Linked DNA regions of Rattus norvegicus. The protein of the gene in region 4 purifies or fractionates together with the protein of the main gene of each other region. This does not show direct contact. Links are inferred from orthologs where the notes say so. Each region holds a gene or a part of one and is shown on either strand. Other genes may lie near its edges.

What was found.
Region 1: the proteins of Smarca5 (region 4) and Hmgxb4 purify together in Homo sapiens (affinity purification with mass spectrometry; 3 studies listed by BioGRID and IntAct, with this or other methods). This does not show direct contact. The link is inferred for Rattus norvegicus from reciprocal best matches to the Homo sapiens genes SMARCA5 and HMGXB4.
Region 2: the proteins of Smarca5 (region 4) and Cecr2 purify together in Homo sapiens (affinity purification with mass spectrometry; 3 studies listed by BioGRID and IntAct, with this or other methods). This does not show direct contact. The link is inferred for Rattus norvegicus from reciprocal best matches to the Homo sapiens genes SMARCA5 and CECR2.
Region 3: the proteins of Smarca5 (region 4) and Chrac1 fractionate together in Homo sapiens (co-fractionation; 5 studies listed by BioGRID and IntAct, with this or other methods). This does not show direct contact. The link is inferred for Rattus norvegicus from reciprocal best matches to the Homo sapiens genes SMARCA5 and CHRAC1.

The regions. Positions count from the first base shown.
Region 1 is NC_086037.1:13,369,137-13,373,365, reverse strand, and holds the start of Hmgxb4 (HMG domain-containing protein 4), read right to left. Parts: upstream 2,808-4,229; 5' UTR 2,743-2,807; intron 2,225-2,742; exon of another isoform or gene 1-2,224. UniProt on the Homo sapiens protein: Negatively regulates Wnt/beta-catenin signaling during development.
Region 2 is NC_086022.1:155,561,599-155,565,595, reverse strand, and holds the start of Cecr2 (cat eye syndrome critical region protein 2), read right to left. Parts: upstream 2,808-3,997; coding exon 2,682-2,807; intron 1-2,681. UniProt on the Homo sapiens protein: Regulatory subunit of the ATP-dependent CERF-1 and CERF-5 ISWI chromatin remodeling complexes, which form ordered nucleosome arrays on chromatin and facilitate access to DNA during DNA-templated processes such as DNA replication, transcription, and repair.
Region 3 is NC_086025.1:106,900,690-106,904,859, reverse strand, and holds the start of Chrac1 (chromatin accessibility complex protein 1), read right to left. Parts: upstream 2,808-4,170; 5' UTR 2,796-2,807; coding exon 2,649-2,795; exon of another isoform or gene 2,218-2,648; intron 639-2,217; coding exon 512-638; intron 1-511. UniProt on the Homo sapiens protein: Forms a complex with DNA polymerase epsilon subunit POLE3 and binds naked DNA, which is then incorporated into chromatin, aided by the nucleosome remodeling activity of ISWI/SNF2H and ACF1.
Region 4 is NC_086037.1:44,174,833-44,179,141, forward strand, and holds the start of Smarca5 (SWI/SNF-related matrix-associated actin-dependent regulator of chromatin subfamily A member 5), read left to right. Parts: upstream 1-1,507; coding exon 1,508-1,513; intron 1,514-3,858; coding exon 3,859-3,933; intron 3,934-4,309. UniProt on the Homo sapiens protein: ATPase that possesses intrinsic ATP-dependent nucleosome-remodeling activity.

The sequences.
Region 1 (4,229 bases), about 31 Mb from region 4:
GTTCAAGGCCAGCCTGATTGACATAATGAATTCCAGGACTATTTAGAGAGAATCTCTCAAACAAAACAAGGGCAATATTCTCACTAGTTCAAAAACGATGAGTTTATTAGAAAGCCATACAGGTCCCCTTGGCTTTCACAGGCTGATACTAGGTAAAACAATTTTAGACTGAAGTTTCAGGCTTTTCATGCCAGATGAATTTTGGCATAGAATTCTTGAGAAATAATGCCCTCTTCCTTCCCAGTCCAACAACATCCATATTTAGTCTCATGATACAGCCACTAAAAGTGTATTGGTCAAACACCAATACACTTTTAAACGTAAGTAAAGGCAGGCTCAGAGACTCATAAACAGGTTTTCCTCCTTGAGAACATTAAAACTGATGAGACAGAATTAATCAGTATCTTACTGGTGTGGGAGCTGACTGAACTTTTTACTAGGTATGAAAAGTTATTTCCTGACTGCTGTGAAAAACTAGTAGATTTTTAAAAATGGTTTGGAAAAGTAAAATCAGGGAATGTTCCTTAAGGCAGGTCAACACAGATGTGCAGGCTTTTTGTATTAGGGTCATACCTGCTACTACTGGAACTTTCTCAAAACAAAGACCAGATGCTCATGGGAAGAGTGAGTGAGCCCTGAACACAAGTCCAGGTCACCAATATGTAGGGAAGTCCAGAAACCGAGAACTACTATGGACTAGTCACAGGCCGGGCAGATTGGCGGGCCCTGAATGGTGGCTCAGGGTTCCATGGTAGCTGACTCATAAGACAGTACCAGGGGAAAAAGGTCTCAAGCAGCAGTGTGAAAGAAAGCAGAGTTCAGGAACATTTATACAAGATTAGATAAACACCAATTAAATTGAGGACTCCGGGGTAGGAAGTAAACTGGGAGGGTTAATGAAGATGAAAAATTTAGGTTTGATTTTCACATCAGAAAACTACATCAAATGTTGGCAACATAAAACAGGCGCCAAAATCCATTCTCTCGAATTCCATAATTTTGGAGTTTACAAAATTCAATGTTGTCAACTTCTTGGATCAGGATAATCTTACAGTTAGTGTTTGTCTTGGTGTGCAAAGACATGACAGCATAGAAAAGCTCATTCATTGTTTAATACTGTTTACGTCATTATATATAGAAAGCGAATGCTTAGAAAACGTGAACACGGTGGCTGGGCTCTTCCAAGGCTTTTCTTCAGGGTATGGGAAAGGAGAAGCAGGCTCTTAATTCCACTTGACAGTAAAACTGCAGGTCAACCTTCAGCACAGGCTTTTGGGATAACCAAGTAATTATGAAAAAAGTTAAAATCTTCAAAGGTAGAATTTTGTTATTTTGGAAATTCAAAGTGTTAACTATAAAAAAAAAGTTTCAGAAAATGAGTTTTTTGGAGGTAATCTCTATTCCAGCAATCGCTAACAGTATCATCATCATCATCATCATCCCAGAACAGATTGGAGAATTGAGAAAGAAAATCCACCTAGTAAACTGGGCAAGGAAGGTCTCTGTCCTCCAGATGGGGGTTTCCCCCAAGGCTGTTTCTAGGAACTCAGATTGCCAGTCCACGCAGTCAAAGGAAGAAACACTTCCAGATGTCCACAGATTCTGATATTTTGTTGCTACTTCTACCGTAGCACAGGTGAATTCTTGTTTCAGTGGGTTTCCTTCCTTATCCGATCTCCTGGAGTTCTTCTCGCCACACCCTTTTCCAAGGACCTACCTAAGCAGCACTCCAGCCCCTGCCAGCTTCGGAACTTGCAGAGATCTCTACAGCCAGAAACGCGCACTGAATCTTCTCGTTGCAATGCTAATAAGTGTAATCACGACCACAGCACAGATTGGCTAATAACACACTCGGTTCCACGAAACCTGCGATCCAAATTTTGACAAGCCATGCGTAATCAACAGGCTTTACTTTGGATGCAGTTTTTAAAAAAATTTATTTTGCTACAAGGGAATAGAATCAGCCAGTACTAGAAACAAGGGTAGGGTGGGCGGTAGACATATCTTGTCTGATGTATGATATAAACTAAAGTGAATCTACAAGTAGTGGTTGTGGAGGGGGAAATGGGCCTGTATGGAGATGACTCCACTTAAGACATGTTCAAACTGAGTCGCACGCAAAGAACACACACAATACGAGATTGTTTATCCACACAGTCCCCAAGACCACCGTTCCCGGGGTCCCCGATTTGTTAACCTCGGCAGGTCTGCTGCAACCGCTAGTTCAACAAAGCTCTGCGCAGCTCAGGGAGCTCCGCGCATCCTCTCCCGCTCGCCGCGCGCCCAGCCCTCCCGCCCGTCGGCCCGGGACCTCTCCTCCTGACAGCCCCAGGTAACCCGCGCCTGGGGTCCCCAGCCGCGCTCCTCCCGACCCGAGTTCCCGCGTCCCGTCGGCCTCCGGCGCCCCGGAGCGCACAGACGGCGGCGCAGGGGGAGGGGCGGCGCGGGCCGCGGGTCCCTGGGGCGGCCGCACGCCCCCTCCCGGCCCCGCAGCTTTCCCGCCTTCCCGGTTTGAACAGCTCCCGCCGCCTTCCTCCTGCGGCCCGCTCCAGCCCCTTCCCCGGGGCGGCTGCGGCCGCTACTCCAGTTCCCGGCTTGGCCCCTGAGCTAGGCCGCGGCGGGCCTGAAGAGCCTCCGGGACGGTGTCGGGGGGCCGGAGCGGTGGGCGGAGGCCGGGCAGGGCCGTTGCCGCCCCGGGGTGGGGGTCCGGCTGGGTCTGGTGGGGGCTCCGCTCGCCGCTACCTTCACTCGGCTCGCTCGGATCCCGCCTCAGCGCCGCCGACCGCCGCCATCTTGGAGAAGGAGAGAAAAGCGCGAGCAACCAGGGAGCCTCAGTCGAGCCCAGAGCGCAGACTCCTACCGCGGTGCTACGGCGCCAGCGAAAGAGCGTCGAGCGCATCGAATAGCTTGCTGAGCGCGGTCGCGGTACCTTTTGAGGATACACCACTCCTTGCCAGGTTTAGTCTAAAAATCTCTTCTCGACCTAAACAAATAATTGCCCAAGTTTTCTGACTATTCCTGAATTAAAAAAAAAATCCTTTCTGCAAAGAAATCGCAAATAAAAAATGTCAGGCAAGCAGATTAATGTAGCCAAACACCTGCCCCAACCCAGAGTCTTCACAGGTCCGTGAACTATGCAATTAGAACAGAAGTTCTGAAACTGTGGAACTTCACTTTGGATTTTACACGTTCACTGTCAACTACATTTTTATGTACTTATCTACCACGTACACATACAAGCCCGGAAAACTCCATGGAAAACTTAGAATTAGAAAAACAATTAGCTTTGTATTCTCTTTTACGAACTCATGGGTCCTTCTCTGCATTCTCTGTTCTTTCTGGTCACCTAATAGTAGCCCTTCTTGTTCTCTTTTTACCCCTAAGTCTTCAGTATTTAAGGCAGAATATTATGATGTGTATTTCAAGACAGTCTGTTCTTTGCTGGATTCAGAGTGATGAGGATTAATAGCAGTGTGTATTTGTAATTTAGCATCTACATCTGGATAGCATCCCCGGTGAGGTGGAAGATACGCTGTTTTCTCACCAAATCACTACATTTCTATTGCTCACACACATTTTTGTTTAAGTGTTAAGAGGACTGGCGAATTGGTTCAGTGGGTTAAAGTATTTTACACCAAACCTCTGGGTATGTGTTTGACACCGGAAGCCTACATGGTGGAAAGAGAGAACTGATTCATACAAGTTTGACTGCCACAGGAATGCCCCCCTACAAACACACAAAAAAGAAATAAATAAAAGTTACTCTTTCTCTAAGAAACAGGAGGAAACACAGTTTCTTCTGGTTTGCTGAGGAGAACTTAGACCAGTAAGCATTTGCAATGTCCTGAGCCTGGTTTAATATAAAGACCCTGTTCTTGTAGCCTAGTGTAAGTATATAATAGCCTTCCATGTGAACAGTGCACACTCGATCAGAGCAACCAGAAGCTGGTCCCTTGTTACTAAAAGACCCAGCCTTCATCTGTACTGCTAACAGCACTGCTATAGGGAGGAAGTTCTTTTTTTTTTTTTTTGCTTTGTCAAAGTCACAGGACTTAGGTGTTTTGGGGAAGTATTGTGGATGGAGGAAGGGGCAACCCTGGCTGTCCTGGAGCTCATTATGTAGACAAGGCTTGTCTGAAACTCACAGAAATCCTCCTGCCTCTGCCTCCTGAATGCTGAGATTAGAAGCGTGAACTATTAATTTCTTTATTTATTATATATGAGCACAC
Region 2 (3,997 bases), on a different chromosome or scaffold from region 4:
GACTATTTTGTAATCTATAGTCCTCATTTCTAGCTTTTCAAGTGGAACCAGGGCTACGTGGTCTTTCCATGTGCCTACCAGGTACATACAGCTTGGTACTGGTATATTTTACTTTAAGACAAGGTCTAACACTGTTCTGTAAGACCTAACCCATAAACTAGTTGATGTTTTTCAAATCACATAAGGGGGAAAAAAAACAAATTTACTGATGGCATCTTTGGGGAATTCTACATTGTTGATGGGTCAAAGTCAAATTTCTTAGAGAATTAGAATTCTAGATATTTTTCATCTTTCAGTAACTACTCAAAACACTAAATAAAATATAGGAAATTCAGGAGGAGAAAATCATTATCATTTGTTACACATTTATTGATCATCTCCATAGCAGAAGGGAGAAAGGGTTGTTAGTATTTAAGGTATGCACATGTTGGAATCAGGATATTAATGTGTTGAATGTTTTTCCAAGTAACAAGCACACTTTAAGTGACAAAGTGCATCTTTCTAGAAACACTTAGGAGAGATGGCTCCCTGTGAAGGAAACTGGTGCTAAGCCTGACCACCCAAGTTTGATTCCTGGGGCTCTCACCACGGAAGGAGAGAACAAATTCCCTCAAATTGTCCTGAGCCTCCACAAGCACTCCCTGACGCATGCACGCCCACACAGCATAATTTTTTCTTAACCACTAGAATTAAAAGACACCATGTCAAGTAGACCTGATTATTCACCCTGTAAAGGACAATAACAGCTTACTTTTAGTAGAGGAATTAGGCCAACAAACACTGAGAACCTGAAGTTTACTACTTAAGGATAGAAATTAGAGGTTAACTTTAAATATGTTGAGTATAATTAAGACAAAATGAGTTTCCTCTACTTTTTATCAACAAAATGGGAATATAAGAACTTGGAAAAGTGACATTTTTTCCAACAATAGCGTTTTCAAATACACTCAATTTGTAATCCACACATCAACTTACTTCCTCTTAAAAGAAAATGGATTGGGACAAGTTTATCAGCACCCAAGATGGCAACTGTCACAAGAAACACCACACACACACACACACACACACACACACACACACACACACACACACACGGCAGCCACCATTTTGAACAGCAGGATTTAATTAAACTACTCGAGATTTCAAACTAACTAAAAGGAAACACAGGACATCAGAATCATTAATCATCTCTTCCCCTTTACGATTCCTGAAATCGTTAATCTTTGTAGTCCGACTTCATTACAAAATTTCATCACAGAAGTGTTCGTTACATTCATATTCAAACTTTGTAAATAAACGATTTGAGGTTGCGTTAAATTGCCAAGTTACATTTTCCTAAACCCTGGAGATGCCCAGGACCTGGAAAATCTTACCAACCTTTTCACATTGTTTTAAAATACCTCCAAAAGTCAACGAACAGCCCCAATCTCAGCCCACATTCCTCTTCATTCTCCTGTCCCAACCCTTGTGATCGTTTTAGTTTTCCAATTTCGTTAACTTTGCAACAAGAGTTAAGTTCCCACGCTTCATTCATAGTAGAAGCAAGTGATATTTCTGCAAACACAACGGACTTAAAAATAAAGGTGAGTAAAGACCTCAGGAGTCAACAAATTAAAATCAAGATTCGTGGGGGTGGAGAGGCAACCACAATGGCCAGAATCCCCAAATAAATTATTTTAATTTTGATTATTTCAGTTGTAAAGGCATCCACAAAACTGAAAACTGTAACTGACCAACAACAGTTCCGTGTACCTTTGTCCCAAGGAAAAAAGGTGGTTAAGTCACTCCACAGACTACCATAAAAGAAAGCAACTCAGCCTGCCAACCAATCATATATTTCACAACTCCTTCCAAATATAAAAGCAGGGATGCTGCTTTGGACCATCTTATACATTCCGTTTCCCACACTCCCGCCACCGTCCTTGTCATTAGGACCCTCCGATTTTAGTCAAGTTATCACAAAGCCTCGGGTCTTGAAAAAGCACCTTCGGCCTGGCCAGAAAGCCATTTCTTTCCTCCTCGCTCGCCCGGGGGAATAATGGTGGCGAAATGAACTGGAAGAGAGAGCTCCCCGAATACGAAAGGCTGCACGTTCCTCAGAAGAGGAGCTGTTTTTAAAAGGGGAGAACCCCAAAACTTTCTCTCCACAGCCTCGGCGTCCCGAGCGACGGTGAGCGACAGTGAGCGACGGGCGGTCCCACAAGGAGAACGCCCCAAGCTCAGGCCCCATCTGCGCCCGCCCGAAGTTGACTCGAAGCGCCCGAGAGTTACGGGCCTCCGCAAGTCGGCCAAGTGCGACCCGGGCGAGCGTCTCCCGAGCAACGCCGCCCCTGCCCAAGGCCGCTCCCGCCCGGCCGCTGTGGCCCCCGGCGCGTGAGCCCGCATCCCGTCCCGGTCCCCGCCTGAGCAGCTGCTCGCCGCCTCCGAGCTCCGGAGGGGAGCGCGCGCGCACTCTCGCCCTCAGGCCGGCCGAGAAGTCCCGGGAGAGCCCTCGGGTCCCGCGCCGACAAAAGCAGGCTCGACCCCCGCCTGCGAGAACGCGCGGGGCGGCGGGGAGCCCGTGCCGGCCGTCAGCCTCGTGCCCGCCGCCGAGCCCCTCGCCGCCGCACTCCGCGCCAAGTCCGCGGCCCGCGACTCCCCGTAGAGAAGCGCGGAGAAAGGGCGCAGCGCCGGCTACTCACCTCGATCTCGAAGTCCGGCAGGCGGAACGCCGTGCGAAAGAGCGAGCAGAAGTGCGCGATGGCCGGGACTTCCCACCAGGAGCGGAGCTCGCCCAGCCCGGCCGCGCCGCCTTCCTCCGGGCACATCTCCCCGCCGCGCTCGCTCGCCCGCCCTCTCGCTCGCTCGCTCGCTCGCTCGGACTCCGGCCGCGGGCAGCGCCTCTCAGCGCGCGGCGGCTCCCGCCGCTCGGCGTGAGCTCAAGCTGAGGCGCGCCGGGCGGGGGGCGGCGGGCCGAGTCGCTGAAGCGGCCGCTGCTCGGGCAGCCGGCGGGGGCTGCGCGCTCGCCCCGTCCCGCCGCGGCCGTGCGGCCGCCCCCAATCCCATACAATATAATCCACTCAGCGCTGAGGAAAACAGATGGGGCTGGGGGTGGGGAGGGGGCCCGGCAGAAGCCTGGGGGAGGGGCCGCCCACGAGGAGGGGGCGGGGCCGGCGCGCACCACAACAACAACCCCGCCCCCACCCCTGCGCGGACAGCTGCACTGAGGAAGGGGGAGGGGGAGCGGGCCGGCCGCGCCCCGGGAGGGGCTGCGCGTGACGCGGAGGGGCCCGCGCGCAGCCCGCGGGCGGGTGGGAGCGGCGCTCTGAGGTGCAGGTGTTTGGGGCCGGGGAGTTGGGCGACTTTGGTGACGGAAGACAATAAGGGTCTCTCCCACCCCCACGTGGCCTCAGTGGTCGAGTCCTTTTAAAGGGCCCGCGGGGTGGTGCTCTCGCTGGGGACTAGCTCCGGGAGTGCGCACGTGTGGGATTTCAGTTATTACTGCCGTGGAGGGCGGTGCAGGAGAGCGAGTGGGCCGTCCACGCTGGGAACCGGAGGCCCGGGGAAACGACGCGCTTTCCACCTGTTCTTTAGCGCTTGTTTTGGTTTTGGTTTGGTTTGGTTTGGTTTTTTTTTTTTAATTCCATCTGAGAACCGTACTTCAGGGAGCGCTAAAGTGCCTCGCCCCTCCAAGGGATGGAGGTGGTGGGGCTGGTTAGGCTGGAACCAAGTAGGATGGAGGGGAGAGTGTGGCGGGAAGGGTGGAGTACGGGGGGAGGCACCAATCAGCAGCCTAGCGGGAAGAGCAATTTCCCCCACCCCAGGGAACGGACACGTGCAGCAGCCCTAGAGGGGACTGGCTTTGAGCCCTGTGACTGCCCTCGCCCGAGCACGGCTGCGGGGCGCGAGTGCTCACAATGTGGCTAGGAGGCTGGGGGGATGGGGCAAGAGCCTGGAGACTCTGGGACGTGTGTCCGGGTGGGGGTGGAGACCTGCCCAGGCTAAGGGAATATGCTCT
Region 3 (4,170 bases), on a different chromosome or scaffold from region 4:
TATGGTAAACTATGACTACAATGATTCAAGTTTTACAATGTATTATTTCCACCTTTAACCCTAGACAACCTTCTAAACAAGATGAAATCCAGGTGTGCTTCTAGGTGAAGAATAACAGAAATGGGCATTGTTTCCTGGGCATTCCACACTGGTAAACATGTTTCTATGGCCTGATTTTGTGAACACTGTTCAAGCTAGCTGAGAGGCTAAACTGGCCCCTGGGCTAGACTGAAGCTCTTTCTAGTCAGAGTCTGACCCATGGCTGCATGCACCCGCTGCTTTGTTTGGCGTGCAGGGGAACAGGACAAGCAGCCAGCTCTCAGTGAGTCTGCTTGGCCATGGATGCACCTTCTGTGTACTGTTGGCTTCTTGGTGGGCTCAAATGGAGGCTGGTAACAACTCCCTGTGCCAGATCAGATAAACCGAGGCACCGAGCAGAACAATAGAGGGGAGAATAGCCCACTACAAGGGTTCTTTGTTTTTTAACCAGAATGTCCCAAAGATTAAGTACCTGCGAGAAACTGAAGTGTCTCTGAATCCTCGGCAGCGCTGGCTAAGTCACTGTATGTCAGCGCTTTCTTGGCTTTGCCACTGCCGTGTCTGTAGGAACAGGTGGCTAGATACTGAACAAAGAGCTCCTAAACCAACAAGAAATCACACAGTTTACAACCTTAAAATTCCATTAATACTTCACATTATCTTGGTTCCTCAATTAAATGACAGGGAATTAATTTACAGGAGACAGAAACATGAAATCAGAAAGGAAGCAAGAGTGTCAGTCAGGAAGCAGCAGGCATTTCCCAGCTGAGCTGAAGTGTATAATATAAATATTTACAAATGACTGTAAAAATATGAAAAATATTTTACAAGTGGTTTTGGGGGGTGCTGTGGTATATACTTATCAGCATTTAGGCAGAGGTAGGAGGCACAGGAAATCAAAGGCAGCTCTGGCTATATATCAAGTTCAAGGCCAGCCTGGGCTACACGAGCTGTTGTCTGAAAAGGATGGGGGAGGGGTTATAAGGAGGTGTTACCAGCCTACACAAAACGGAGTAAAAGACCATTCAAAAACGTTATCTGAGCATGGTGGCACATACCTTTAATCCCAGCACTTGAGGGGCAGTGGCAGACCTATCTCTGTGTTCAAGGCTAACCTAGTCTACAGAGTGCCAGGACACTCAGAGCTACACAGAGAAACCATGTCTCCATAAAAGGAAAACCAACCAACCAAATTATATCTGGCTTGCAAAGGATTTTATTACAGATGTGAGCTGCCACCTATCTGTCTTAGGAACACATTTTCAGCCTACTTGAATCCCTTGTCAGTTGTTCACTCACAACTATAATAAAAACCAACAACCTCAGGCTGAAAGGTGACATCTCATTTTGCCCAAGTACCTTCTAGGTGTGGAACTAACGAGATCCCAATGCTCAGAAAGTAAAACTGAGCCTTCCCCAAGGTTTAGTATTATTTCAGCTAATAAGTGATCAGAGAACTGTCTGCATAGTGCTTAGGTCCTAACACTAGAATCCTACAAAAGAATGTGAATCCCAGCACCACACAAATAATCCTGATCCCATGATCCTGAGATGACTTAGAAATGAGACATGTACAGTTTACGTGTAAATATGCACCACTGTCTAAAAGGGGCTGTTATCCTAACATTGTATTTGGCTTTGGAGGACCAATGCAAGGAAACTGGGGAACTGTATTTTGTCAGGCTCTAACTTAAGGTTGACAGTTGTAGTCACAAGATTTGTATTTCTTTTGTAGTATTTTACAATATTACAATTTTACAATATTATAAAATATTGTAAAAGATACTACGCACTGATGTTCTAGAAGCAGAGACTGGAAAAGAATGTAGAGACAGTAATCATGTCGGGTCTCAGAACAGTAAGGTTCTCGGTCTACCACAAACAAGACCAAACTTTAAACCAGGAGTGGTGTCAGGAAATTCTCATCCCAGTACTCAGAAGGGCCAAGACCAGGGTAGCAGAGTATGGTTCCAGCAGCACTTGGTAGGCTGAGGCAAGCAGATTGAGTTTGAGGTAATCCTGGCCTACAGGGTTCCAAGGTAAGGAGAAATACTGAGAGCTGACTTGAAATATAAAAATAAGGAAACAAAGTGATGTGTTTGGAGGGGGGTGTGCAGTTATAATTTGTCTCTAGAGTCTAACTTGTGACCAGCGGTTGTCTGCTTAAAACCTGACTACCTCCAGAGTCCTGAGGGCTGAAGAGCCCTAGACATCCTTGCAAGCTGTCCTGGATGCTTCGAGAACCCTCGCATCACTCTGCGGGAAGTCAGCGACAGAAAAGAAGTAGACAGTACGCCCTCCTCACTGGTCAACTCGCGCAGCCGCACTTAGCTCCTCACGCGTGCGAAGCAGGGCGGGAGTGACGCGGTAGGCGGAACGCAGAGAACGCTGGGAGCGAAGTGATGCAGAGCAAAAGCAGCGCAAAGGACAGCGGGAGCGGCGCAGTGGGCGGAGCTAAGACCACGGGAGAGTGGGTGTGTAATGCGCAGGCGCAGGGAGAGACCAAGACTCCCGGCTCCCGCAGGGCAACCAAAGGCTAGGAGTGTGCGGAGCCCAAGGGGCGGTTGGTGCCCGTGCCCGCCCCTCTCGTCGCCCCGCTGGCCGCTCACCGTGGCCTTGGCCGTGAGCACTAGTGCCTCCTGGTTGATGCTCGACACCTCAGGAGAGCTCTTCATGATGACTCGGATGCGGGACAGGGGCAGCGACACGAGCCGCTGTTCCCCGCACTTGTCCTTACCCACGACCGAGTCCGCCATCTTCCGCGTCCGGGCGGCCCGTGATGCCCCGCGCGGCCGCGCCTGCGCAGACTCCGTGTAGCGCGGTGGCCTGAAAGCCTGGGAGACAGCGCCCAGGAAAAACCCCTCGGAAACGCTGCGGCAATCTCCCGGAAGAAGCGCTTTCAAGCGTCTTAGTACTTCGGGAAGACCCGAGCTGCACAGACCTGCCCTTTCAAAAGCTGAAAAAAATAAAAGAAATGTCTTATGAGGTCATGTTCTGGAGGGAGCCAGCAAGCATGAGCCACACTCTTATTGTCAAACAGTTTGGCCAGGGGAATAGGGAGAAAAGGCAACCCTACCCATGTCTTGAAGCTTATGGGGATTAACCTCTTAAGCAGGCAGGTGAACTAAATGGTCCTTGAGTCTTCTGTAGTCCCACCACAAAACCAAAAGAATCACCAAGAGTTCTAGGCCAGTTTAGCCCCACAAGCTCTTGTTGAAGAAGATGGACCGTGTCTTAAGGAATAGAATGCAGAGACAAGGTAGAATGAAGACGATTAGAAACATCCTATCAAGTAGTGGTCCAGAGGGCAGTGTCGAAGAATATCAGAAAGTGGGACACCATGGCAGATGACACTACCAGACTGAAATTCTACCTACATGAAATTCGTGGAGTGAACTTGGGAAAATAAAGTTAATGCAGTCTGAAGAGGTCAAAAACTCGTAAATTGGCACTAAATATAGTTGGAGGCTGGCAGAATGTTAGAGGTTGGATCACATTTGGTTTCAGCTTTCTTTACCATAGTGTATCCTAGTCCAATAATAAAATACAACTGTCCCCCGGTATCTATGGGGGATTGGTTCTAAGATCCCCACACATACTGAAATTGTACATGCTTAAGTGTTTTAAATGCATAAGGTAGCTGCATAGAGCCTAGGCACATTCTCATATAAGGCCTACATCTGGGTACCCTTGATAAGTACTTTGTGAATGCCATCTGAATAGTTGCTGGACTGTTAGGGAACAGTGATAAGAGATTTCTACATGTCCAATCAGCAGGGACGATTTCTCTTCCTGGATACTTTGTATCTCAGGTTGGTTAAGACCATAGATGTAGAACGCATGCTCAGTGTTAGTGTCAGGCTTAAAGAGGCACAGTCAGTGAGCAAGGTAGCCATGCTGCCTGCCTTCAAGACTATGTTCACCCAGATGTACTGAGAAAGAATATCATTTCCAATGGGAAGTGTCATCCTGTGTGATAGGCTGGCCTCTGAAAAGTGGTATTTGTTCTCAGATCTGAAGCAAAGGAAAGCCACTAGAACAAGATGAGTTTTGTCTGTCTCTTACTTGCTACCTGTCACACAAGTGAGGCAGACAAGAAAAGGTCTGTTTTAGGAAGCTGGGGTGCCACTA
Region 4 (4,309 bases):
CATTTAAACTTATATATGAATATTATCTATTCCAAGAAGTTTGAAATTAGGTCTGGAAAAGAGTTTTATTCAATATAGGTGGGGACGAAATAACGAGCGGGATTAAGATGACAAATATCTTTTGTGCATGGGAGTAGGTGTTTAGATTCTGTAGGATAGGACGAAAGACCTCAGTAGCTTCCATGACAGCCTGAGGCAGGATAAAGAAGCAACAAGAACAACGAACACTTTTCTCTTTGTAGCCCTGGCTGATCTGGAACTCGCTCTGTAGATCAGGCGGCCTTGAACTCAGAGATCTGCTTGCCTTTGCCTCCCCAGTGCTGGGATTAAAGGCGTGCATCACCACGCCTAGTAAACACTTCTGGAGACAAACGTGCATTTTTGTTTGATGTAAAAAACACGCTCTCATTTGTCTTCATCTGTTGCCATTCGTGTTCTCACAGGGCAGCGCGTCTTCTGGCCTAACCTGAAGTTCACAAACGCCGAGATAGACCGAACTCTCTAAGGGGAGCTGACCGATGCAGCGAACACAGAGTTTAATTCTGAGGAGATTTTTCTTCTCAGGCGTCCAACGTCACTTAACGTCACGCTAGTGAGCGAAGGCGGTAGGACGACGAAGGCCAGCCCAGGCCTCTGCTCCACGCCTAACAGTCGCCAGGCAGTCGCGCCGTTCCCAAGCGGGCCTCTCTAGCCGGCGGGAGACAGCGAGCGGAGCCGTTACGGGAGCGCCGAAGAGCCAGCTCGCGTCACACGAAGGAGCGAACGCGCAAACCTCCGCCGACGCGCCTCCTCGAGGCCCCGCCCACTCGCCTTCCACAACCCGCTGGCGGCCCGGAGGAGGCGGAGTCTAGGAGGAACAGGCGCATGCGCCCTCGCAACCCGGCCCTCGAAGGGGGAACTAGCGATCTCGCGAGGGTTGAGAGCGGGTGGCGTAGGTCGCTGTCTGGTTGGTTGGAGAAGATAATCTACTCCGGTAGAGGAGAAGGCGCCGGGAGACCTCTGAGTACCTTTCGCTTTCCTTTCCCTTTCCCTCGGCCCTCCGCCTCCTCACAGTCAGCCCGCCCTCCCTGACCTCCTTGACCCCGCTGGCCCCGCCCACCCTCGTCGACGTGATTCCCGCCGTGAGGTAAACGCCAGTGGAGCGGAGTCCCGCGGAAGAGGAGGACTAGGCGAGCGTCGCGGCTGGGCCGGCTCTGGTCGGTGGCGGAGCCCCTGCGCGTGAGAGCTTCCGGGCGGGTCTCGCTCCTCCGGCGGCCCGGACGCTAGAGCCGCGCAGGCCCAGGCCGCTTTCCTCGGCGCCGCGCCTGCCCGTGGCCGCGGCGGGTGACGCAGCCGGAACATGTCGTCCACGGCTGAGCCTCCGCCGCCCCCGCCTCCCGAGAGCGCGCCTTCCAAGCCCTCGGCGGCGGGCGCCGGCGGGAGCAGCAGCGGCAACAAAGGCGGCCCGGAGGGCGGCGCGGCGCCGGCGGCTCCGAGCGCCACAGGCGCGGGTCCCGCGGACACCGAGATGGAGGTGAGCGCGGCCGGGGCGTGGGGTAGGGAGATGGATGCTCTGCTGGCGCGTCTCCCGCACTTCACCTTTACGTTTTCCCCCTCGGTGTAGCTAGCCTAGCCAGATCGCGGATCGCTCTTACGAAACACATGTTCCTGATTACTGTGGCCGAAGGGACCCGTTTCCTCTATCGCTAGGCTCCCCCAGAACTCGCTCGGGTTCCTCCGATTTAGGTTTTAGTTTGCACTAAACTTTGAGGAGGGCGAGGGAAATGCCCCTCCGGAGTGGGATTCCCGGGGCGAGGGCGACGTTTCCCAGCGTCGCAGCTGAGGACTTGCGCCTCCAGTGCCTCATCCCGTGCTGGCGGGGGCGGCATCAGTCTGTTCTGGGCAGAAACAATGGCGAGAACTGGAGGGCCGAATGCGCAGTGGGGATAAGCGGGGCGCAGCTGCTTCTGTGCAGCGAGGGGAGGCCCCTCCTGGGCCCTGCTCCACTGGGAGGAGAGCGAGCATGACAGCCGCAGCACCTGTCTTGGTTCCCCATCCAATTAGGGGTGTATGCGTGGAAAACTGAATGAATGGGAGCATCGGGGGAGGGTGATGGGCTCCTAGCCCAGTACGTTGCTTCCTTTTGAAGCCATTTGGAGGAATCGCTGTTGAACCACCTTCTCAGGGCTCTAGTGGGCCAGATGATGGTGACAATACTGGAGGAAGCAGGGAAAGGGTGGAAAATGGGGGAGCTGCCAGGCAGGTCTCTTGGATATGCTCCCAGGCTTTGAGTTGCCTGGAAACCAAGTTATTGCTCCCAATTTTTATTCTTGGCCTTGGTCTTGTTTTGAGGTGTTATTATTATTTGAGGTTCCAGTCTGAAGATTCCTGGGAATTTAATCCTCAGATTGGAAGTAATACAATAAAAATGAACCTTAGCATAGAATTTACACTCTAAGGAGATGATGGTGCAGTGTGCTTACTTTTATTGGGCAGCTTGGGTGAAATATTGTTAATCTTCGAAACAACTTTTCCTGGGGAAGGTAGGTGCTGGTGTAGTGCACCAATTTGAAGTGAATGCAATTTCAGTTTAAAAATGTATTTGATGCTCCCCCTATGGTTTTAAATGGTTTTTAGAGTTTCTAGGGTTGTTTAACTTGGATTCTTATATTTCTGTTCCATGAAATAAAGGAATCTGGTGGCTCAGGCCTTTTAATCCCAGAACTTGAGGCAGAGGCAGAGGTATCTCGTGAGTTTGAGGCCAGCCTTGTGTACAGAGCTAATTCCAGGACAGCCAGGGCTACACAGAGAAATCCTGTCTCAAAAAACCAAAACAATAAGAATAAACAAGTAGGAACTATGACATAAACAGAAAAGGAGTGAAGAATAAGATTGAGAAAAAATAGAAACTATTGGTATTTCTATACTGAGAAGACCCAGTTTACTCGTCTGGTTAATGGAAATACCACTTATTTGGGCTTTTCACATTTATGTTCATATTTACATTTTAATTGAAAAACAGCAACTCAAGAATTAAAGAATTTCATTGGGGTTTAAATTCTCCTGGTTATTTTATTCCCTCTTAAGACAGTTACCTTCAGACTGCTTTTCATTGTCTTAACTGAATTTAGAATCAGAACTAGGTTTGAGTTGAGTATGTCTAATGTATTTGAGGACCTTAGGTATGTTTTACAGTTGGAAAAAAAGACTGAATTATAGACGTAACATCTGCAGTTGGAAAACACACATTATTATTGTAAGGTGTACTTTTCCTTGAATGTGTGCTACAAGAATTTTTCTATAAGTTAGAGCTGGAGGTTTTGTCATTTTGCTTGTGGCATTTGAATGTCAAGATGCTTTTTAAGAATAGAATATTATTAACTGGGAGTCAGACTAAGGGTATGCTATGTAAGCTCCTTTTTTGGGTAATGTCCTAGATAGTGGAAATTAGGATCTAATGCTTCCTTCTATGTATACATTTGTATAAAATAACACAGTAGATAGATGGAGTTTTATGATATAAAGAGAACTTTGTTCACATTCATGTTACCTAATTTGTATTTATAATTTTATTTGAAAAGATACAGATTTGCCCGTATGGCTTGTATAAAAAGTAATTTTGTTTTAGGGTGTTATTGATACTAATTTTATCATAGCAGATCTTAATACAGTTTATAATTGGGAAAAGTGATTATCCCCATAGTATTTTATTTTCATCCATATTAAGTTTCATTCCAGGTTATCTGATAGCCAGTAAATATCTAGGGAGTTTGGAGCAAGAGTATATTATTTAGAATGATTTTTTTTTTTGAAAGAAATGAGTGTATGATAGTGAGTAGACAATCCTTAAACAATTTGATGAATTTCCTTTCCTACCAGGAAGTATTTGATGATGGATCACCTGGAAAGCAAAAAGAAATCCAAGAACCTGATCCTACATATGAAGAAAAAATGGTATGTTCTAGACATGTGAATGGTTTTAATGAACTTTTTTCTCAGGATAATTAAATCTACTAAACATCTGTATTTACTTAGATGCTTTTAGAATGTCAACAAAACAGCTTTTTTTTTTTTGTAATTATAGAGTGGTATTCTGTTGACAGAACAATTATCCTTGTATAAGCTGCAACAGAGACAAAACTGAAAACCCAAAAAACTACCAGTCCACATATATAACTAATTTGTGCTATGTATCAGATACAAGAGCCTGTTTTAAATTTCCATGCCACTTTATAATCCCCAGGCTGTTCCAGGCAAGGTTAGTGGCTATTGAAAACACTACAGGACAAGGCTGTCTAAAGACACCTTTGGTAGTGTGGTAACTGTACAG